Neurospora crassa OR74A: one gene and its partners. The main gene of each other region encodes a partner of the protein of the gene in region 5 in a complex. Links are inferred from orthologs where the notes say so. Each region holds a gene or a part of one and is shown on either strand. Other genes may lie near its edges. The genes, in order: NCU04548, NCU02687, NCU08427, NCU10467 and NCU01746.

Region 1 (5,203 bases), on a different chromosome or scaffold from region 5:
GGTTGAAGAGAAGAAGGAGTTGAGTGATATCGCCAACTACGACGAGGTCAAGGAGCAGATAACGGCCAGGTTGATGAACCTCAAAGAGACGCCCAATCGACTGGAACGGCCGCTCATTTACCATCTTGATGTCGCCTCCATGTACCCCAACATTATGACAACCAACCGATTACAACCCGATTCCATGATCTCCGAGTCAACTTGTGCAGCATGCGACTTCAACCGCCCAGGAAAGACTTGTGACAGAAGACTACCGTGGGCCTGGAGAGGAGAGTACCTGCCAGCCAAGCGCGACGAGTACAACATGATTCGCCATGCACTCGAGAACGAGAGGTTTCCAGGAAAATACCCAAACAGCCCGATGCGGTCATTCCAAGACCTGAGCGCAGACGAACAAGCCACTCTCATCCGAAAGAGACTGCAGCTCTACTCACAAAAGGTGTACCACAAGATCCACGATTCCACCACGATTGTCAGAGAAGCGATCATTTGCCAGCGCGAGAACCCCTTCTACATCAACACAGTCCGTGACTTCCGTGACCGACGATACGACTACAAGGGCAAGGCGAAGGTGTGGAAGGGCAAGACGGATTCGCTCAAGAGCTCGGGCGCATCCGCGTCCGAAATCGATAATGCCAAAAAGATGATTATCTTGTTCGATTCCCTGCAGTTGGCCCACAAGGTCATTCTCAACAGTTTCTACGGATACGTCATGAGAAAGGGATCTAGATGGTACTCGATGGAAATGGCCGGTGTCACCTGTTTGACGGGCGCAACCATTATCCAGTTGGCGAGACAGCTCATTGAGCGACTGGGTCGTCCACTCGAGCTAGACACTGATGGTATCTGGTGCATGTTGCCGGCGACATTCCCAGAGAACTTTGTGTTCAAACTCAAAAATGGCAAGAAAATGACCATCTCGTACCCATGTGTCATGTTGAACCATCTGGTCCATGACAAGTTCACCAACCACCAGTACCAGACTCTGGTCGATCCAAAGACCTTCAAATACGAGACGCACAGCGACAACTCCATCTTCTTCGAAGTCGACGGGCCGTACAAGGCCATGATCCTACCCACCTCCAAAGAAGAAGACAAGAACTTGAAGAAGAGATATGCCGTCTTCAATGACGATGGCAGTCTTGCGGAGCTCAAGGGCTTCGAAGTGAAGCGAAGAGGCGAGTTGAAGCTCATCAAGATTTTCCAGCAGCAGATCTTCAAGTTTTTCCTGGAGGGTACCACCCTGGCGGAATGCTATAATGCTGTCGCCAAGGTCGCTAACCGCTGGCTTGATGTACTGCATAGCAAGGGTGCAACGCTTGCGGATGAAGAACTTATGGAACTGATTTCTGAGAATCGCAGCATGACCAAGACGTTGGAGGAGTACGGAAGCCAAAAGTCAACATCCATCACCACAGCCAAGCGCCTTGCCGACTTTTTGGGCGAGCAAATGGTCAAAGACAAGGGTTTGAACTGCAAGTTTATCATTTGCGCCCGACCCAAGAATGCCCCGGTCACCGAACGTGCCGTGCCGGTTGCCATCTTCTCTGCCGAAGAAGAAACGAAGAGGATGTATCTCAAGAAATGGCTCAAAGAGGAGCCTGCTGATACCGACCCTCGAGCACTCCTTGACTGGGATTACTATCTCGAACGTCTTGGGTCCGTCATCCAGAAGCTCATCACCATCCCAGCCGCTCTGCAAAAAGTTCGCAACCCGGTACCGCGCGTGCCGCATCCGGACTGGCTGCAGCGGAGGATCAACATCAAAGACGATAAGATGAAGCAAAAGAAGCTTACGGACTTGTTTGGGCCTACCACCAAAGGCCCTCTGCAAGATATCACCCACCTTGCGAACGGCACCCAGCTTGGAGATATGGAGGACTTTGGGAACTTGCTGAAGCCCAAGACTGTCAGTGATGCTATTTCCGCCACGCAAAAAACGGTGACGGCTCAGAAACGCAAGGATCCGGAACCAGCAGCAGCCGAGAACCTGGACCCGTTTGCGGCGCTTCCCAAGAAGATGCCGTCGCCTAGCGAGGATTACGCGGCTTTCTTGGAGTACCAGAAGCAAAAGTGGAAGCTCCAGAAGCAGGCAAGGGCTCGTAGGCGACACTTGTTTGGCGAAAGGCGTGGCAACGCGCAGAGCAACATCCAGCAGACGTTCCGCAGTCAGGCTGAGATGACATTCCGAAACACTTGGCAGTTGCTGCAGCTGAGGGCATCAGACAGTCCAGGCATTGTCGTTGCCCATGTGCTGATCGATGCCAAGATCCACACTCTCAAGATTAACGTGCCCCGGCAAGTATTCTTGAACTTGAAGAGTAGGGAACTGCCCGACATTGAAGTTGAAGGCTGCCATGTTGAACAGGTCAACCATACATTGCCTAATGGCCACTCTTCTGTGCATCTCTTCAAGCTTACGGTGCCGGAGGACATCTACTTTGCGGAAGCAGAAAAGTTCTCTCTGTTATTCAACCATCCCAGTGTGGAAGGCGTGTATGAGAAACAGCTACCGCTCAACATGCGCGCCCTTCTTCAGCTGGGAAATCTTTGCACTATCGACGAAAGCCAACCTGGTGTACTTGGAAAGGGTCTTGACCAAGGATTCGACCTGTCCGGGTTGAAGAGACCACTCAAGCCGAGAGAGTACTTGGGCGATGCCCGTATGGCCTACATCTATCTCTCCCACATTAGCGCTGGTGAGCGCCAGATCTTTGGTCTTTTCTCCACCACCAGTGACCAAGCCCACGTCATCATCCAGCAGAGGACCAAGGATGGAGGGCAAGACCTGCCAAACATCAACAAGCTCTATGCCGACATGTTGGCAAGGAGGAATCAGGAGGCCGCTGGAGCGGAGTGGCAAGAGTGTTTCCCGTACCAGGAAAAGCTGAATATCAAGATCACCCAAGTTACCACCCGCCGGAAAGCTTTCCTTGAGGTTGGCGACATTGTCAAGAAACTGAGAAAGGAAGAGTCCGGACCGACCATGGTGGTCATCCAATCCTCACAGCGCAATCTATTGGTTCATGAGATTCCCATCTTGGGGGAATTCCCTGTGATGCCATTGCGATATGATCAAGGGGACAGCTCACTGCCCCCACTAGGCTGGCAAAGTGTGGTGGCCCGTCGGTTGGTCAATCACTACCTCAGCCTGGGTTCCTGGATCACCCATATGACGGCTCTTGCTCGGTACGGCGACGTACCGCTATGCAACCTGGAGCGAGACGATCCCCGTTTCCTGATCGATATCGCATATGCTCGCCGGCTCATGGCCAACAATGTCGTGCTCTGGTGGTCACCGAGTCCGCGCCCCGACCACGCTGGTTATGAGAAGGACGATGTGGTTGGCCCACTCGATCAGGTTCAGATGCCGTCCGTCAACAATCCCGGCACTTATGCTTCGGTGTGTATAGACCTTGAGGTGCGGAACTTGGCTATCAACACCATTCTCACATCTTCGCTCATCAATGAGCTGGAAGGTGCGGATAACATATCTTTCAATCCCGCCGCCGATGCAACCGGTAGTGGAGACGGCGAAGAATTTCTTTATTCGGAGAACGCTTTTGCCAATGCTGGCGTGCAGGTGCTCCGTGAGATGGTCAAATCATGGTGGGCGGAAGCTTGCAAGGGGTCCACGATGGCCGACGTGATGGTTCAGCACTTGGTCCGTTGGGTCGAATCGCCAGCCTCGTGCCTGTACGATCGTGCTCTGCATTACTATGTCCAGATGATGAGCCGCAAGGCGCTCCTCCAGCTCATGGCCGATTTCCGTCGCGTAGGATCGCAGGTCATCTTTGCCAGCTCCAACAGACTTCTCCTCCAGACCACCAAGTCCGAGGTTGGAAATGCGTATGCATATACCCAGTACATTCTCAAGAGCATCAAGGGCAAACCACTCTTTCACTTTATCGACCTCGAAATCAAGGAGTACTGGGACTACCTGGTATGGTATGACGAGTTCAACTACGGCGGCAAGGCGACACAAGAGGTGCTCGAGCGGGACGAACAGGACCTGCAGATGATTATGCACTGGCAAATGGCAACCTTTCTCCCTGTCCGTCTGCAGCCCATCTTCCGCGACTGGGTCGTCGAGTTTATCCAGCTGATGCACAGCATCAAGCGACCCTCCTTTGGCAGCGACCCAACAGCCACGCCACGTCTCACCCAACTGCCCGTCAACATGCGCAATGGCAATCTCGGCGAGGACGGCGCCGTCGGGCAAATCATCCTGGGCAAAGCGTTCGAGAAGCCTCTCAAGAAGGAAATCGCCAACCTCATCAACACGCAAAGGCGCGAGCTCCTGCACCCGGAGCTGGCAGGCGATTACACATTTCCCCAACTACCGGGATCTCACCTGTCTCACCTGTCTATGTCCAATGCCAAGTCGAGTAATACCAAGAACGCGGCAGGAAAGAAAGTAGCAGCGTCGGCCAATCCGGTGCTTGAGCTGGTCAAGGCCCTGATGCAGGTTTTATCTTTGGACAAGAACATCACGCTCGAAGCGCGGCTGCTGCGCAAGGAACTCCTCGCCATGTTCGACGTACGCGAGTTCAGCAAGGACGGCGCGTTCCAAAACCCATCGGAAAGTCTGAAACTGGCCCAGTTCAGCTGCGAAAACTGTACCATGGCTAGGGACATTGATCTCTGTCGAGACGAGGACTTTATGAGTTTGGCGGCCGTTTCTGACGTGTCAGCAGCAGGCGGAGCGGCCGGCGGCGAGTTGGAAGGAGCTGCTCCAGGACAAGAAAAGGGAAGGTGGAAATGCCCTTACTGCGAAATGGACTACGACAGGAACGAGATTGAGGAGAGGCTGGTGGCGGAGGTGGAGGCCATGGTGGTGGAGTGGACGACGCAGGACCTCAAGTGCGGCAAGTGCGGGGCGCTGAGGGTGAATGAGTTCATGGAGCATTGTACGTGCAGTGGAGAATGGAGGGAGTTGGTCAAGAGGGAGGAGGTGATGAGACGGCTGAAGGTGTATAGGAATGTGGCGAGATATTATGGGTTGAGGATGTTGGGGGATGTGGTGGAAGGGGTTGTTGGGGGGTTGTGATGTGCTTTCCTGGGTGTTAATCTACCGTAGAGGCGTTCGAGGTCCATGAGGGTTACCCTGTCCGTATGTATGTTTACCTTTGGCATTGCAATGCAGGTGCTTGTTTTGTTTTATCTCAACCTCGTTTGGCTAACACGTGATAACGGCGCTGAT
Region 2 (4,287 bases), on a different chromosome or scaffold from region 5:
GGTGCCGGGACTGGGAATAATGCGATATGTTGACAAACGAACCTTGGTGATGCGAAATACAGATTGGTCCATGGTTTCTGACTTGGAGCTCACCAAGTCTTGGTGGAAGATGGAGGGTGGAATGGACCACTCGAAATCGCGAACGTCGACCCCACGGGCAAAGTAGTAGTAAACAGTAGGCAGTTTGGCGGGGACCGTGATTGGGCGACGTGAAGAAAAACACTGGCGGACAAGTCGTGCGAAGTGGTCGATGAAGGAATTACTCTGGAGATTAAATGGCCGGGTAGCTGCCGACAAGGTAGTAAGGCCAAGTCTTCGTTATGCGGATGTTTTGTTGGAGGAATGATGAGTGATGGCTTAAGTTGTATTTTCTGTTTCCCATTCAGGTAGCAGTCGGTGGTTGAGGTGAGAAGTAGCGAGCGAGACGACAACACCAAGCTGAGTTCAGGCAAGAAGAGGAAGTGGTAAGGTTGAGTGCGGGGCAGGGCAGAGTTCAAACGAAAGGAACTGAGTGAATAAATCCAAGGCAAGCAAGCGATTGGTGCACTCAGTAATGCACAACGTACTATGTAAACTTGCAAGGTAGAGGTAGGTACTGTTGTGTGTAATTACAACCTTTCCAGCGTTGGTCAAACTTGTATTTGCTTTTTTGTTTTTTGCTTCTCAAAGCAATCAATGACAGTCTATCTCTACTTCGAGGTGGCAACCAAAGAACGAAGGATGAAAGCGTCTCTGACTACTTGTACGTGCCGTGTATATTATACGCTGCCGAAGGTATCCTCGTGCGTGCGTAATCAGCATCGATCAATATCAACGAAAGCAACATGGAGGGTTCCGTTTCCATTCATTCTTTTATTCCACATACCAGTTCAGGTACTTTTTAGTGTGAAGCAGTGTCAATCAGTCACATCCCGACAACTTGGGGCACCTGGTGGTGGGCTGCTACATACCATTTTCAAGGGTAGCCGCCCCGCATTTGCAAGTGCAAGATGCAGGTGGGTTGCAGCAACGAAATGCCAGAAGTGGAATACCGTACGAGACTGGAGCTTACAGTGCGATGCCTTACCACACGACAGGGCATAAACATGGAAGACGGAAGCGGGCAGGGTGATTGATATACCTGTTTGAGCTTTCATATGTCCCAGCGTTGACGACATCGGAGGTCCATGATTCGAACCCCGCATCCATTGTCACTACGTTGTAAAATCAACATGTGTGGTAAAACGGAAATGTATGATTTTCGGGAGAATACAGAAGCAAGTTGGAAAGAGGGAGCCCTGGATCCCCGGCTGCCCGGCTCCCCGGTCCCGTCTCCGTGTCCAGGGCAGTCCGCCTTGTTGTTGGACGTGGAGAAGCTCCAGGCACCGACGGGACAAAACCCAACATTCGGAGCTCTACCCAGGTAGCGGACGGCCCCGGGTGGGAGGGGGCTAGGAGCTAGGGTCTTGCGAGATCCACTTTAATTGAAGCGGCTCCACAAAAGGAAACGCGCCAGACGCGGTCTCTCTTCCTGTGATCGCGTAAAGTGCTGCTTGGAGTTCTACTTTACTATCACCATTCTATTACGAGCTCCCCTCAACAATAGATTGTTGCGACACCTTGATTGACGACAGCGAGACGCTCACCCAGTACCCACGTTCTCTCTTTTCTTGACATTCAGGAAAACGTACCCTTCGCAACTTTGCTGGCCAAGATCTATTCCTATCATGGCAAGCTTTTTCGACATTAAGGCCAGGAAGGCGGCCGCTGCAAATGGCACTCCAAACCCGGAAAAACAGACAAAGGAAACTCCCAGGGCGCAACCATGGGTAGAGAAATAGTATGTCATGCAAGGGTGGTCAAGTTCAATGCCGGCAGTTCAACCAGCTAACCTCTGACGACTTCCTCGACAGCCGTCCAAAGACCCTCAGTGATGTCACAGCCCAAGATCACACCATTACCGTCCTCCAAAGAACATTACAGGCTTCCAACGTTTGTCAAACCTGCTTATTTCCCCTTCGTGTCTCTCTCAAGTCAAATTTGGACAGCCACTGACCTGTGTCGTCAACCCTCCAGCTCCCACACATGCTCTTCTACGGCCCTCCAGGAACGGGCAAGACCTCGACCATCCTTGCTCTCGCCAAGGAGCTCTACGGCCCCGAACTCATCAAGTCCCGCGTCCTAGAGCTCAACGCCTCCGATGAGCGTGGTATCTCCATCGTCCGCGAAAAGGTCAAAGACTTTGCTCGCATGCAGCTTACCAATCCCTCCGCGGCTTACAAGGCGCGCTACCCATGTCCGCCCTTCAAGCTTATCATCCTCGACGAGGCCGACAGCATGACGCAAGACGCCCAGAGCGCACTGCGCCGCACTATGGAGACGTATTCGAAGATCACCCGCTTCTGTCTTATATGTAACTACGTCACTCGCATTATCGATCCGTTGGCGAGTCGTTGCAGCAAGTTTCGGTTCAAGAGCCTCGACCAGGGGAACGCCAAGAAGAGGCTGGAGGAGATTGCTCAGCTCGAGGGTGTCGGGCTAGAAGAGGGAGCTGTCGATGCGCTGATCAAGTGCAGCGAGGGCGATTTGAGAAAGGCGATTACGTATTTGCAGAGTGCGGCAAGGCTAGTTGGTGCCGTGGCAGCCACAGCTAAAGACGGGGAGCAAAAAGAAACCGAAGGCGACGACGAGATGGAAGTGGACGCCAAATTGGTTACGGTCAAGGTCGTGGAGGATATCGCTGGTGTTATCCCGGACGATACCATTCAGAGGTTACTCGAAGCGATGCGGCCCCGCGCTGGGGTGGATACGTACCCTGCGGTTGCCAAGGTGGTCGAGGAAATGGTGGCGGATGGTTGGAGCGCTGGGCAGACCATGACGCAGCTCTACCAGGCGGTGGTTTTCGACGAGATGATCCCGGATGTGCAGAAGAACAAGATTGTTATGGTGTTCTCGGAGGTGGATAAGAGGCTGGTGGACGGCGCAGACGAACATCTGTCCGTACTCGACCTGGCGCTACGGATATCGGGTATCATGGCTGGGAGGTAACGGCCAAAGCTTAAAGAGTCTGAAAGGGTACGACAGAAGCAGATGGTTCAAAGATAGGCGACATATCACTGGGTTCGGAGTTTCGGTTTGGGCAACAGAAAATGGCAGGTCATTTACATCGCACTACAAGGTCATATTTTGGTGTTTCTAGTCCTAGACTTCTTTCTTGACAAATGCTTGACAATGGTCTTTTATCCCTGGCACCTCGCCCACCAGTTGTGTTCCGAGGTGTCTCCCGTCGCAACACACGATAGTTATGGCTGCCTCTACCCAGACTTCTCTAGTCCTACATGCACATCCACCATATTCCACATGCTCAAGCTCCCTCCCTCACGGTGACCAATTGTCTCCTTCCCCTTCCTGCCTCCCTCATCGTATCTCGTCCCAAGTCCCGATCCACCAGTTGCATTTGTGATTTTCAGCGATTTCTGCCCTTCGACAAGCCATATGTCAGATTCCTCGCCCACCTCATCATCATCGCCATCATTATCATCATCATTACCCTCCTCCTCTCCGCAAGCCGCTTTAACCGGCTGCTGTCGTTGCTGCTGCTGCTGCTGCTGCAACCCACGTCCCAACAACCGATCAGCCTCGCCTAGCATGCGAATTGCTCCCTCCAGCGCTATCTGCCCTTTCTCAATTTTCTCCACTACCACCTCAAAAGTTGCGATCTTGGCCGAGTCGGCAGCTGATACCCACGGGTTGACTAGACGCGATGACATCATGGCGTTGGGGTCATCGTCCTGTTTCTTCTTCTGCACTACTACTGCCGTGGCGTGGGCGGGTATCAACTGGCTTTCTTCCACCAGGTGATCCAGCACCTGGGCGTTTTCCCTCAGCTGCTTGGTGAGGAGGGTGGTTACGTGGGCCTTGTGAGCCATGAGGCCTTTATGTTCGTGAGAGAGGGTGAGGAGGCGGGTGAGGGTTGGGGTGAGAAGGTGGTCTATTATGGGAGCGGGTGTAGACGCCTCTGCTGCTGCCGCTGCTGCTACTGCTTGTGTTGAAGATCGCTCAGGAGATGCCGCTGAAGGAGAGGAGGAAAAGGCAGTGATGGCGGGGAAATCAAGGGACGGTAGGGAGCGAAGTTGGGTGGTGACCAGCTCTAGGAGAGCTTTTCGCATGGAGAGATACTCGGCGTATTTTTCTTTGATGCTGGTGAGTTGTTGCTTAAGGAGTTGGGTTTTGTGTGCGAGCTGTTGGTCCCGTTGGACTTGGAAGTCATCTTGTCCAGCCCTTTCTCCTCCTCCGTCTTTTTCCTCT
Region 3 (4,264 bases), about 1.5 Mb from region 5:
GTGAATCGCTCTGTTGCCTGGCCGGATGCGCTGCTCAAAACAACATGGGAAGAAAGAGGATGGACCTACCAGGAGCGTATTCTGTCCCTGCGGTATATGTACTTTGTCGATGACACGGTACACTTCCAGTGTCAACAAGCCACTTGGAGCGAAGACTTTGCAGCCGAGTGTCGGGACCTGGACTTGACCGCCGCTGACCAAGTGGTAAACTTCAGTATTGTCCCCAGTGAAGTTCCTCCCACGGTTGAGTTGCGGCCTAATTTGCAGTTCCAGCTCAAGCGATATCCCGAGCTGGTAGGGCAATACACATGTCGCAATATGACATTCATAACCGACCGCGTGAATGGAATCCAAGGTATCTTGAACGTGATCAAAGATCATTTCTTTTCTCAGAATGTCGAGTTTGTGCACGGGATGCCCACGGGGGAGCTCCTGCATCCAGGGCTTCTTTGGCGACCACGACGGGAGCCGAAGAGAATCCATATGGATGAGAAGACAGAAAGACCCCTGTGGCCAAGTTGGGCATGGGCCGGGTGGACTATACCAGTCTACTACGACTCGGGTGCTGACTTTTCGGCCAACAGCACTGGTCGATATCAAGCAGAAATCAGCCTTGGCCCGGACCCCTACTTTTTACACCTGAAGGCTCGCGTCGCTCGGTTCAGACTCATGATTGAGGACCGAGGCAATGAGGATGCGGTCCCTCCACTACCTCGGGTCCGGCCAACACGGTTGACGCGGTATGCCATCACACATGCGACACATCCTGAGGGAGGTGATCACGAGTGGATTGGATCCATATGGTTGTCGTGGTCCCACCGAAGAAAGTTCGTTGAACAACGGTTGAGTCTTATTTCGAAGGGTACACACGAGTTCATTCTTCTTTCAGACGCAGACAAGTTCGAGCAAGAGGAACTGGTGCAAGCGGCAACAGCCGAGAAGAGAGCCGTGGTCAACGTCATGATGATCGAACGAAAGGATGATCCAAGGACGGATGGTCGGGTTCGCATTGAGCGTGCGGGTGTGGGCCGAATGTACAGAGATACCTGGGATCGAGTTGAAGATAAGTGGGAGAGGTTTGAGTTGGGATGAGACGGAGTGATGAGGCTGGTAGCCAAAGGAGTCACTTGGTCGGGCATCCTCAATATTGGCGTCCCGACCCAGAACTGGAGTGGGAACGTTGATGTGATTGGTGGTTCAATTTCATTGGAAAGAGAGCAGTAAACTTAGTTCACTAAGAGAAGAGGATGTCCACATGTGAAGAGATTCCATCCTAGAGAACAAGGAGAGTGAAGTGAGGGTGAGCCTTTGAGGTTGTAAAGTTGAAGTTTTCAAACAGAGACCATGGATGAATGAGTGGAAGAACAGTTGAGCTTCATTAAACTGTGGCTGGGGTACCAATACTCCACTAACCGTGTGTGGCTCAGCGCCCAAAACCAATTAACCAGCCACACGAGGGGCCTGTTGCCCGACGCGTCTGTCCTTCCTCTCGACGCGTTTTCCCAGCTTCACTTTCCCGGCCTCACCAAGTAAAAAACACCACCCAACCATAAAGTTCACGTCGGCGCAAAACCTCCAGAGTAGACTTCAGATCACATCAGCCTCGACATCAGCGACCCAGCCCAATTCTACCACCATGTCGGACTTTGAAGACGAAATGGACATTGATGTCCCAGTGTCCAAGGACGTCATGTTCGCTGCCACCAACACGGCCAAGGGCAAGCGAAGCGCTGCCAACCTGCCTGTTGAAGCAGAAGACAGTCTCCCATGGTAGATATTGCCCCCCATATGTCTTCATATGCCTATCAAATATCTAACCAGCCTGTGACAGGGTCGAGAAGTACCGCCCCGTATCCCTCTCCGATGTGTCTGGCCAACAAGACATTCTCGCAACCATCAACAAGTTTGTCGACACGAACCGACTCCCCCATCTCCTATTCTACGGTCCCCCCGGTACCGGAAAAACATCGACCGTTCTCGCCCTGGCCCGACAAATCTATGGCGCCGCCAACATGCGCCAGATGGTGCTCGAGTTGAACGCTTCCGATGACCGTGGTATCGACGTTGTGCGCGAGCAAATCAAGACCTTTGCCTCCACCAAGCAGATCTTCTCCCTCGGCTCCTCCTCTTCGCGCTCGGGGCTGGCTGGTTTCAAGCTTATTATTCTCGACGAGGCCGATGCTATGACGTCCACAGCGCAGATGGCCCTCCGTCGCATCATGGAAAAGTACACGGCCAACACTCGCTTCTGCATCATTGCCAACTACTCCCACAAGCTCAGCCCAGCCCTCCTGTCGAGATGCACACGGTTCCGTTTCAGCCCTCTAAAAGAAAAAGATATTCGTGTCTTGGTGGACAAGGTCATTGACGAGGAAAACGTCAAGATTCTGCCAGATGCTACCGATGCGCTGGTGCGGTTGAGCAAGGGTGATATGCGTCGGGCACTAAACGTGCTCCAGGCTTGCCACGCGTCAAGTAAGTGGTGGTGTCCTCGTCTCGCCTTCTGTTGCGGGCCTCAAGCTAACCCAGGTCAACCAGGCACACCACTCCAACCAAAGAACGCCCCCAAGATCGCCGAAAAGGACATTGTACGGGAAACCATCACCATTCGAACCATCTACGACTGCGTTGCCGCCCCACCACCCGACGCCATCAAAAAGATTCTCAGCACACTTTTGAGCACGAGCGACGTCACAACCTGTCTGTCGACTATCAACACCCTCAAGGTTGCACAAGGTTTGGCCCTTGCCGACATTATCACCGCTCTGTCGGAAGAGATCGTCAAGCTGGAAGTCAAGCCGCAGGTCATGATCACATGGCTTGATGAACTTGCCAAGATTGAGCATCGGGTAGCGAGCGGAGCCGGAGAGGTGATCCAGACTGGTGCGGTAGTGGGTGCGATACGGAATGGTGTAGAACTGATGGGATAGGGTTGTTGTTGTTGAGACTCAAAAGCAAAAAGCTACTCGGTGTTGTTTTGTCTGCATCTATGGTTCGGAGTTTAAGCATCTGGCGTTTGGGCAATCGATCAAATTTTACCTTCTTCGACTGAAGTTACCAACTCCTCATTTCCACCTTTTATATTATGCCCCTTTCTTCCTACGGCAGGGGGATATCACGACGGAGAGCTACAATACGGCAAGAAATATAGATGGATAAGTAATCACTATTCATCGCGAGACTAGCTAATGATATCCAGCTTAATAGATGTACCTGAATCCCGCTGCTCTCCTATCACCCGACGCCGCAACAGCCGCAGTCTCTGGGTTCTCAGCCTCTTCCGCCTCGGCCCTCTCCAGCTTCTTGTTCTCCCATTTGTGCAGGTAGCGCAAGAACAACGCCAACAATCCCACAAAAAGGCAGATTACAGAATTTGCACTACCTCCAGGTATGTACTGTGGCGCCGCCGAAGCCGGGTACATGTATGACCCGTAAATACTCGCTGTGTTTCCAAACATGTTGGCAATAGCCACAGCAGCCGAGCGCTTGACCATGGGACGAGGGAACGAGTTGGCAACCCACGACAGGATGATTTGGTCTGTGGGTCTGTTAGTCCTCACCTTCACCAGGAACTACGATAAAGCAACGAAAAAACCACTCACAAGAAGAAACTGCTCCCATGGGCATCAAGAACATGGCAAAGAACCGTGCTCCCACCTTGGTCGTGCCCGTCGCCACCGCGTTTCCCACCGCAGCCAGCAGCATCAAGAAGAAGATATGCAAACTGCGATCGCCCGTCTTGGAACTCGTCCACGTCACACAGACGGAGATCAAAAAGGTCGCGAACCACACGGGAGCCGTCAACCACAGCGTCTCGATCGTGCCGTAGCCGAGAGTGCCCACGATGCTGGGGAAGAAGTACTGGAACGTCTGGCTGAGCAGGGACAAGTGCTGCAGCAGCACAAAGAGATACAGCCGGTAATCCCTGAGCGCGAGCTTCAGCCCGTCCCAAACCGAGCGACTGTTTTGGTCGTCCGACTCGTTGATATCAGCCAACAGGCGCCACGAGGCATACGCCCGCTCTTCTTCGCTCAACCAGCGCGTGGTGTTGGGATAATCGGGCAAGACAAACGCAGCGGCGACGGCGACGGCGACAGTGATTGTTCCTTCCTGTTTTCGTCGTCTCAGTCAGTCCTCACCCATCCCTCACCATCCTGTAGCAAGGGAAAAACTCACAATGATAAACAACCACCGCCACCCACTCACCCCCCTCGCCCCCTCCAAATTCCCCAACACCCCCGCCCCAATCACGCCCCCAAACATA
Region 4 (4,296 bases), on a different chromosome or scaffold from region 5:
CCGCCGTCTTCACCAAGAACAAGTTCCAGGCCGCCCCCGTTACTTTCAGTCGTAGCTTGTTACAGAAGAAGGGCAACCAGGGTATTCAAGGTGTCGTTGTCAACTCGGGATGCGCCAACGCCGTCACTGGTAAGGGAGGCTTGGAGGATGCCGGCAAGATGGCCCAGGCCGCCGATGAGTGCTTTGGCCAGAGCGAGAGCACTCTCGTTATGAGCACTGGTGTTATCGGTCAGCGTCTGCCCATCGAAAAGATCACCAGCAATATCCCCCGGGCTCACAAGGCCATGGGCTCTACCCACGATCACTGGCTCACGGCTGCCAAGGCTATCTGCACCACCGACACTTTCCCCAAGCTCATCTCCCGGTCCTTCAAGCTTCCCTCCTCTCCTTCAGTCGAGTACCGCATCGCCGGCATGACCAAGGGAGCTGGTATGATTCATCCCAACATGGCTACCCTCCTTGGTATCATCGCCACCGATGCTCCCGTTTCCTCCACCGTACTACCCGCCGTTCTCAAGCACGCCGTCGACCGTTCGTTCAACAGCATCACGATCGATGGCGACACTTCCACCAACGACACCGTTGCCCTGCTTGCCAATGGTGCTGCTGGCGGAAAGGAAGTCGTTGCCAACACTCCCGACTACGATGCCTTCCAGACTGTCCTGACCGATTTCTCTACCGACCTTGCCAAGCTGATCGTCCGTGATGGCGAGGGTGCCACCAAGTTTGTTACTATCCGCGTTGTCGAAGCTGCTAGCGAGGAGGCCGCTAGGAAAATTGCCAGCACCATTGCCCGTTCTCCCCTGGTGAAGACTGCTCTCTACGGCAAGGATGCCAACTGGTAAGTTGCGGAAAATTATCCCATGCGTTTCGGCAGCTACTGACGTTGTCATTAGGGGCCGTATCCTCTGCGCTACTGGTTACTCCCTTGTTTCTGAGCCCGGCCTTCCCGTCAACGATGTTTCTGAGGTTGTCCCTGAAAAGACCAATGTTTCTTTCATCCCCACTGACGGCACTGCTGAGCTGAAGTTGCTCGTCAACGGCGAACCCGAGCAGGTTGATGAGGCTCGTGCTGCTGAGATCCTCGAGCTTGAGGACCTTGAGATCCTTGTCAGACTCGGAACTGGTGACAAGCAGGCTACCTACTGGACTTGCGACTACAGCCACGAGTACATGTAAGTTGATCCGCCCTCATTCGAGTTTGGGTGACGACTGCTGACATAAGATCTGAATAGTACCATTAATGGAGACTACCGCACGTAAGAAATCACTGATAAGGCGTTACTGGTACTTGGGGAGGATACCCGGAGGTAGACAGGATAGAAAAAGCTCATTTATGCCATACTCTGTGCCCTCCCCTTCTTTATTTCGTACTCTTCCATGATATGCACACGTCGCCCGCCACCCCGACCACACATTTCGGATCTAACTACGCTCCGTAATACACTTTGAGGGTGGTTTGCGCAACTTAAGCATGGAGGTAGCGAATCCTGTAATGGGAAAGCACGCACATTTGTCGAGTTACTCGAAGGGATGTGCTGCCAAAGGCCTCTGGATAGATGTTTGTGGCAACGTCAGACTAAGCTCTTCTCAACGCTGGCTTGAACAGAAGCTTAGTCTAATAAGAGTTTCAAAACCTCCAAGTCCGAAGGAGCCATCACGATTTTTTTTGGATTTTTTTTTTCTTTGGTTTTTTTTATCCCATCAAGACAAACGAACAAGGTCGGACACTGAGAGTTTGCTAGAAGCACTCCTAGGGTTAGGGTATGACGATCTCGGCCAGACCCATGCAAAACCACTTAAAATCGATAAACGCGACGCGTCGCGCCGCTCCACTGACCTTTTCCTCCAGACAGCTCAGAAATCGTAAACCAACAAACAACACATCGAGGATCGCAATACTTAGAAATCTGGGGGTTTGAAACAGGCCATCCGCACAAGAAAACTTCGATTATTGTCCACCCAGAATGCCATCAGCCAAAGCAGAAGAGAGGGGCGAGTCCTCAACCTCCATCTCCAAGGCTGCAACCTCGGTCTCCGCAAGCTCTTCCCCGACCTACGAGCTACCATGGTGAGTCTAATCAGGATTCAATGAACTCTCGATCTCCATAGGGCATCAGGCTGACCAGCAGTTACGAACAGGGTAGAAAAGTACAGACCAGTTTTCCTTGACGATGTGGTCGGCAACACAGAAACGATCGAGCGCCTCAAGATTATCGCAAAGGAGGGCAACATGCCCCATTTTATTATTTCAGGCATGCCTGGTATCGGCAAGACGACGAGTGTTTTGTGTCTGGCAAGGCAATTACTAGGTGATGCGTACAAGGAGGCGGTACTGGAGTTGAATGCCAGTGACGAGCGAGGTTAGAAAAGGACAAGAGCATCCAGCTCTGTGGCTATGAGCTACGCCAAACAACACAAAAACCCCCCCATACTGACATACCAACCCAAAAAAACAAACAGGCATTGAAGTAGTCCGCCAGCGCATTAAAGGCTTCGCCCAGAAGAAAGTCACCCTCCCCCCAGGTCGGCACAAGATCGTAATCCTCGACGAAGCCGACAGCATGACCTCGGGCGCCCAACAAGCGCTTCGCCGCACAATGGAAATCTACTCCAACACCACGCGCTTTGCCTTCGCCTGCAACCAATCCAACAAGATCATCGAACCTCTGCAATCCCGCTGCGCAATCCTGCGCTTCGCCAAGCTCACCGACGCGCAAGTCGTCAAACGCCTGCTGCAAATCATCGAAGCCGAAAAAGTCGAGTACAGCGACGACGGCCTGGCCGCGCTGGTCTTCAGCGCCGAGGGAGACATGCGGCAGGCGATTAATAACCTGCAATCTACACACGCCGGCTTCGGCTTCGTGAGCGGGGATAATGTCTTTAAAGTTGTGGATAGCCCGCACCCGATCAAGGTGCAGGCGATGCTCAAGGCCTGCTACGAGGGTAATGTTGATGCGGCTCTGGACGGGCTGCGGGAGCTGTGGGACCTGGGGTATTCCAGTCATGATATTATCAGCACCATGTTCAAGGTCACAAAGACGATTCCGACGCTGAGCGAGCACGCTAAGCTCGAGTTTATCAAGGAGATTGGGTTTACGCATATGAAGATTTTGGAGGGCGTCCAGACACTGTTGCAGTTGAGCGGGTGCGTGGCGAGGTTATGTAAGTTGAACATGGATCCGAAGAAGTTTGCGGTACCGAAGAAGTGAATAAGGGGGGGCTTCGCGAAGAAAAGAAAAACAAAATTGCGAAGGGGGTGATCCTGGGGCAGGAATAATGAGGTTCATAAAAGATAATACCCGAGCGAAAGCTATGAATTGAATTGTTTACTCGGCGTTGGTTTTGATGTTTAGTCAACTGGCATAGCATACTGCACTACAGAGAAAGGAGTATAGATGGTTAGCATGTAGCATTTGCGGTGTAGCCGGCAGCGGAGCATGAAGTGTAGAGGATTCCATTGAGTGGATAATATCCGGATGCGTCGTTCCTCGTGAGATGTGCAATTTACCCAGAAAAAGGTAGTAGGTATATGGAACATGGCATGTGAACTTTTGGTGCCGTCATTGAATCTTTTACTTTCCAATTTATATAGCCAACCCGGTTGCCCGGTACAGTGTGTAAATATTTTCCAGACCCGTCCAAACCCTCAAAAATCTCCATTCAAGAAGAGTAACAGAAGAAGTCGTTCATCGACACAATTTCAACATGTCAATCTCATTCACAACACATCCGAAAAAAGAAAAGGAGATTATCGCAATCTGTAAGTTCTTCGAGATGCCCAACACTAATATTTTTCTTTCACACAGAAACAGGCGACAACAAATCCAGAGGATAATACCTCCCGTTGACCCTAGCCCCACCGTTGCGTCCCCTCTCGGCAGCAGGCTCCCGGCGATGAGGGTCAACAGAGTGTGTCCTCCTAGACGGCTGCTGCTGGGTAGATATCTTTCGACCTCTACTATCTCTCCCTACCGTCATTCCTCCAACCGGTATTACCGGTCCTCGCCCGTAAAACGCCTCGGGTTCATCGTCATGATCATTAATACCAACAGCCTGTGGCATTCTTTTATGTGGTTGCTGGACATGGCTATTGCTACCATAGGATGTAGCGGGCAGCACATGATGCTGGTGATAATGATGCGGCGTTGTCGGGCTGGGGGTGCTCGGAGTTGACGGAACTGTGCGTTGCTCACTGCCCCTTCTCGTGTAAGAAGCCTGCCTGCTTCTGCTCGATGAGCGGGAACTCGAGGCATAAGAAACAGGGGTATATTGGGGCGTTTGCGGGACTGGGGG
Region 5 (3,889 bases):
AGGCTATTCAGGATTACATTCGCAGCAACAAGCTCGAGCCCGTCGTTCGCGCAAATTACGTCCGAACGGCCTTCCAGAATCCCGGAGATGATCGCATTCGCCTGTCTATCGATACCGACATTGCCTTCATTCGCGAGGATACCCTCGACCGCGATAGGCCGTGCCGTGATCCAAACAACTGGCACCGTACCGATATCGACGACAGCAACATGACCTATCCCTTCAAAAACATCAACCAGAGCGAGGTGTCGCTGTTTCCCTATGCAGTGTTGGAAATCAAGCTGAAGGAAGACCAGAACCGCAAGCGACCTGTCTGGGTCACGGACCTGATGGCCTCGCATTTGGTCCACCCTTGCCCTCGCTTTTCCAAGTTCATGCAAGGCGTCGCCTCTCTTTTCGAGGACTACGTCAACAGGTTGCCCTTTTGGCTGCCCGATCTGGACACCGATATCCGCAAGGATCCCCAAGTGGCCTTCGAGGAGGAGGAGGTGAAACGAGCCCACCGTGCACAGAACGAGCAAGTAGTCGGCAGTTTCCTCGGAACCAAACTAGGCAACTCGTTCAAGCCGTCACGGAGCTCTCCAGTGGCCAAGTCATACCTCGCCGAGCGGGTGGCGGCCGAGAGCAGCGGCGCCAAAGCGCAAACCCCCGCCTCCGGGGCGACAGACAGGACCCCTACCGCTGTCACTCCGGCCGGTGAACTCAACGAAAGCAGCAGCAGCCAGCAACAGGATGGCGGGCAGCAACAAGGGGGCCGTAGCGAGTACGGCACCATGACCCTCTCCTCCGTCTTCCCCGGCTTCTCTCTCTCCAAGTACTCCAAAGCCATGCGTCTCAAGCGGGCCCAGGGCGAAGGCGGCCGCCGTGGCTCCGTGACCCTGCCGCCCGGCGTCGAGGAGCCTACCGAGTGGCTCAAGAACTCAGGCCCCTTGCAGATCGAGCCCAAGGTCTGGCTAGCCAACGAGCGGACGTTCCTCAAGTGGCAGCACATTTGCGTGCTGCTCGGCGGCTTGGCCATCAGCTTGTACACAGCCGCGGGCAGGGGCACGGTGGCGGAGTGGATTGCGGTTGGGTTCATCATCATTGCGGCGTTTGCCGGTGGCTGGGGGTATTTCTTGTTGCACTCGAGGAGGAAGATGATCATTGAACGGAGCGGCAAGGACTTTGACAACTTCTTTGGCCCATTGGTGATCAGTGTGGCACTGATGGTAGCGCTGATTTTGAACTTTAGCTTTGCGGTAAGTTTTCCAGATGTCTTTTGAGCAGTCAGGGTACAGAGTAATTGCTGACTACATGACTTTAGTATCGCGACTTCTTGGCTAGAGCTCAGGCTAGAGCTGCGATTGAAGCTCTGTTCATCCAAAGCAGCAACTCATCGGCGAGTCACATCGACCTGAGATAGTGGTGTATGTAGAGCTTGGTCGATTGACGTGAGACTAGAAAAGAAACTCATGCTTGATGAACAAAGGGGTAACAAAAGATTGGATACGGAAAACAAACTTGGTTATGACTGCATGATTTGGGGGTCTGGCGTGTGGACGATGGTTGAGTAGAAGAATGTCTCGACGAGGATTATGTTGAAGTAGGCATACATACAGTTTGGCATGATTAGAAGCATCAAGATCAGTATGCAAGGGCAGTTGAATCGGCAACATGTTGACGGCCATGGAAAGGGGACATGTCCCTCTCTCTTTCTCTCTCTTGTGATATGCGCACGGACCATTGTTGCTCTGGAAAATGTAAATGGACTGAAGTTCTGAACTGGACGGCAATTCCATGCAAACAACTTCTCACCAGCGCCTTTGACAAACTCGTAACAATCACCGTGATCATTCCCCCCAGACTCGAGACGGTGGTCATATGAAGGAAAGCTCAACCACTCGACGGCCAGCCTGCTAAGATTTTCACTTGCGTCGCTTTAACGAGCCCTCGTCATCAGATCGACCAGCTGAAGGAAAATCACAATCAGGCGGGAATCACAATCAACAATCAACGACATCACCCACCATCATCAACAACAAGAACTCACATCACACAATCACTGCCAGCAGATATGTCATCGCAAATTTCTCTCCACCCTCGTCCTCTCCAACCATCGCCCTCCTCAAGCTCATCAACACGTGCAACCAACCCACTCCCCACCCTGATCCAAACCCCCACGGGCCTCGCCCTCCTCGAACTCCAAGGAACTCTCAACATACGCGACTTTGACCCATCCTCTACAGAACAAATCACTCCAATCCCTGTAGGGAGGATCGATTTCCCCGATTACCAGCCCAACTCCCTCACCTTTGACGCCAACGACAAGAAGTGGATGAAGAGGGTGTATATGTACATTGGCGAGCATCAGCGGTTGCATGGGGAGGTGAAGGGGCTGGGGAAGGCGGTGGGGGTTGTGAGGAGGAGGGTACGGCAGCGGGAGGGGGTGAACGGGGAGGAGGAGGAGGAGGAGGAGGAGGAGGAGGAAGAACAGAAAGAGGAGTTGGAGGTGTTGGATATTATAAGGTACAAGATTGTTTTTGGGACGAGGCCGGAGCCGGTTACTAGGGGGGAGCAGTTCATTGGACGGGGTTCTGAACAGACCTAGGGTTACTAAGGACGGGAGGGTGTGGAGGAGGGGGTTGGTGGTGGCGAAAGTTAGGAATAGCTCCTCAGGAAAGGGAATAAAAAAAGGTTCAGGCCATGGAACAACCTCACAGTCACCACGGGTAGCTTTGTTATCTACTTTTATGAAAGGAGGGTGGTGTGGTACACAGGTGCTGAAGTTGAAGATGACAGAGGGAATTTGACGAGTTATAGTGGATATACCTATAACCCCCCCCTCACACTCCGTTACATGTGGTCTTTAATATAGCTCGGTTTTTCTGGTGCTACGTTTATCTTTGAAGAGATGGAAGATAAAAAGGTGTCATATGACCTTTGTCTCCTTCCCATCCCAAATTTTTTCATTTTCTATCTTACTTTTTTTAGCAGCTCAATACAAGTAGGTAGGCGTTGTGGTTCCTGACTAATGTTTGAAGGGTCCTCCATGAAAAAAGCACGAGAGGTCACGAGGTCCCCTGGATCCTGGGTCTGGATCCAGTCTGTGATACCATGATAGGTAGGACGAGAGCGGTGAATGATATGTGTGAAGAATGAGGTTGCAGTTCGAGGCCGGTTCGTCGCGGAAAAAGAATGTGAAGGCGTCTACCGGTGTAAGGTGGTGTGAGGCACCGGTGTAGCTCAGCTTGCTCCTTCCCAAGTCCGACATAGCTTCATCTCTGTCATCATTGTATACACTACCTAGAGGTACCTAGTCCAGGTCTCGCTAGTGTATTCTAGTAGGTAGACTTGGAGGCTCCGATCAGATGATGCATCCTATCGACTTCCACTTGCCCGCCCCAGTCTCCGATGACCTGAAGCCTTGAACGTAGTGTAGACTCGCTTCAAACCGTTGTTCATTCACGTTTCACATGTCGAACGACAAAAAGACCAGCTGGGGTGTCAACATGAGAGGATCAACAAAGCAAGCTCGAGGCAAGCGAGGCAAGTCAAGATGGTGCCCCGCCAACCGGTGTCGTTGGAGCTGTCAAATTTGTCCACTGAAAGGTGGGGGATGCTGCAGCAGACGCCACAGCGGGTTCTGACTGGCTGCTAGGGGCGCGGGCGCTTTCAGTGGGAATGCACAATTCCCTTGCTTCCAAGTTGCCGCGAGAGTTCCCTTGATGGGATCACCACTGCAACAATACCTGTAGGTAGTGATGATCCATTGCCCGACGCTCGTATGGCCCGCATTTTCGTTCCCGCTTCAGTTCCAGTTAGGGCCGAGTCCCGGGCCACGCAACCGCCAGAGACCTATAGGGAAGTGGAAGCTACCTACCTAGGTATGGATCCCTGATGGTCCCCTTTT

What was found.
Region 1: the proteins of NCU01746 (region 5) and NCU04548 are in contact, whole or in part, in a cryo-EM structure (PDB 6S2F), measured with the Saccharomyces cerevisiae proteins. The link is inferred for Neurospora crassa OR74A from reciprocal best matches to the Saccharomyces cerevisiae genes CTF8 and POL2. Residues at the interface, in NP_012061.3 of Saccharomyces cerevisiae: Glu40, Lys87, Gln88, Arg128, Leu130, Pro131, Met133; in NP_014137.1 of Saccharomyces cerevisiae: Arg1025, Met1036, Leu1037, Glu1038, Glu1040, Asp1041.
Region 2: NCU01746 (region 5) and NCU02687 share a complex: the UniProt entries of both Saccharomyces cerevisiae proteins name them as parts of the CTF18-RFC complex. The link is inferred for Neurospora crassa OR74A from reciprocal best matches to the Saccharomyces cerevisiae genes CTF8 and RFC2.
Region 3: NCU01746 (region 5) and NCU08427 share a complex: the UniProt entries of both Saccharomyces cerevisiae proteins name them as parts of the CTF18-RFC complex. The link is inferred for Neurospora crassa OR74A from reciprocal best matches to the Saccharomyces cerevisiae genes CTF8 and RFC3.
Region 4: NCU01746 (region 5) and NCU10467 share a complex: the UniProt entries of both Saccharomyces cerevisiae proteins name them as parts of the CTF18-RFC complex. The link is inferred for Neurospora crassa OR74A from reciprocal best matches to the Saccharomyces cerevisiae genes CTF8 and RFC4.

What each region holds. Positions count from the first base shown.
Region 1 is NC_026507.1:1,474,942-1,480,144, forward strand, and holds part of NCU04548 (DNA polymerase epsilon), read left to right. Parts: coding exon 1-4,910; intron 4,911-5,203. UniProt on the Saccharomyces cerevisiae protein: Catalytic component of the DNA polymerase epsilon complex which participates in chromosomal DNA replication.
Region 2 is NC_026501.1:3,202,922-3,207,208, reverse strand, and holds NCU02687 (activator 1 41 kDa subunit), read left to right. Parts: upstream 1-1,531; 5' UTR 1,532-1,706; coding exon 1,707-1,819; intron 1,820-1,892; coding exon 1,893-1,971; intron 1,972-2,055; coding exon 2,056-3,027; 3' UTR 3,028-3,228; downstream 3,229-4,287. Other genes in the region: NCU02688 (ubiquitin-conjugating enzyme E2Z), read right to left, coding at 43-72; NCU02686 (hypothetical protein), read right to left, coding at 3,294-4,287. UniProt on the Saccharomyces cerevisiae protein: Component of ATP-dependent clamp loader (RFC and RFC-like) complexes for DNA clamps, such as the POL30/PCNA homotrimer and the checkpoint clamp DDC1:MEC3:RAD17 complex.
Region 3 is NC_026502.1:4,031,782-4,036,045, forward strand, and holds NCU08427 (activator 1 subunit 3), read left to right. Parts: upstream 1-1,505; 5' UTR 1,506-1,636; coding exon 1,637-1,770; intron 1,771-1,831; coding exon 1,832-2,475; intron 2,476-2,538; coding exon 2,539-2,930; 3' UTR 2,931-3,200; downstream 3,201-4,264. Other genes in the region: NCU10392 (hypothetical protein), read left to right, coding at 1-1,092; NCU08428 (MFS transporter), read right to left, coding at 3,201-3,538, 3,603-4,110, 4,177-4,264. UniProt on the Saccharomyces cerevisiae protein: Component of ATP-dependent clamp loader (RFC and RFC-like) complexes for DNA clamps, such as the POL30/PCNA homotrimer and the checkpoint clamp DDC1:MEC3:RAD17 complex.
Region 4 is NC_026505.1:3,556,258-3,560,553, reverse strand, and holds NCU10467 (replication factor C subunit 4), read left to right. Parts: upstream 1-1,858; 5' UTR 1,859-1,967; coding exon 1,968-2,071; intron 2,072-2,142; coding exon 2,143-2,363; intron 2,364-2,463; coding exon 2,464-3,212; 3' UTR 3,213-3,451; downstream 3,452-4,296. Other genes in the region: arg-4 (arginine biosynthesis argJ), read left to right, coding at 1-841, 897-1,175, 1,236-1,263; NCU01294 (hydrolase), read right to left, coding at 3,802-4,296. UniProt on the Saccharomyces cerevisiae protein: Component of ATP-dependent clamp loader (RFC and RFC-like) complexes for DNA clamps, such as the POL30/PCNA homotrimer and the checkpoint clamp DDC1:MEC3:RAD17 complex.
Region 5 is NC_026502.1:2,561,715-2,565,603, reverse strand, and holds NCU01746 (hypothetical protein), read left to right. Parts: upstream 1-1,780; 5' UTR 1,781-2,053; coding exon 2,054-2,587; 3' UTR 2,588-2,960; downstream 2,961-3,889. Other genes in the region: NCU01745 (SPX domain-containing protein), read left to right, coding at 1-1,238, 1,304-1,402. UniProt on the Saccharomyces cerevisiae protein: Essential for the fidelity of chromosome transmission. Required for the DNA replication block checkpoint.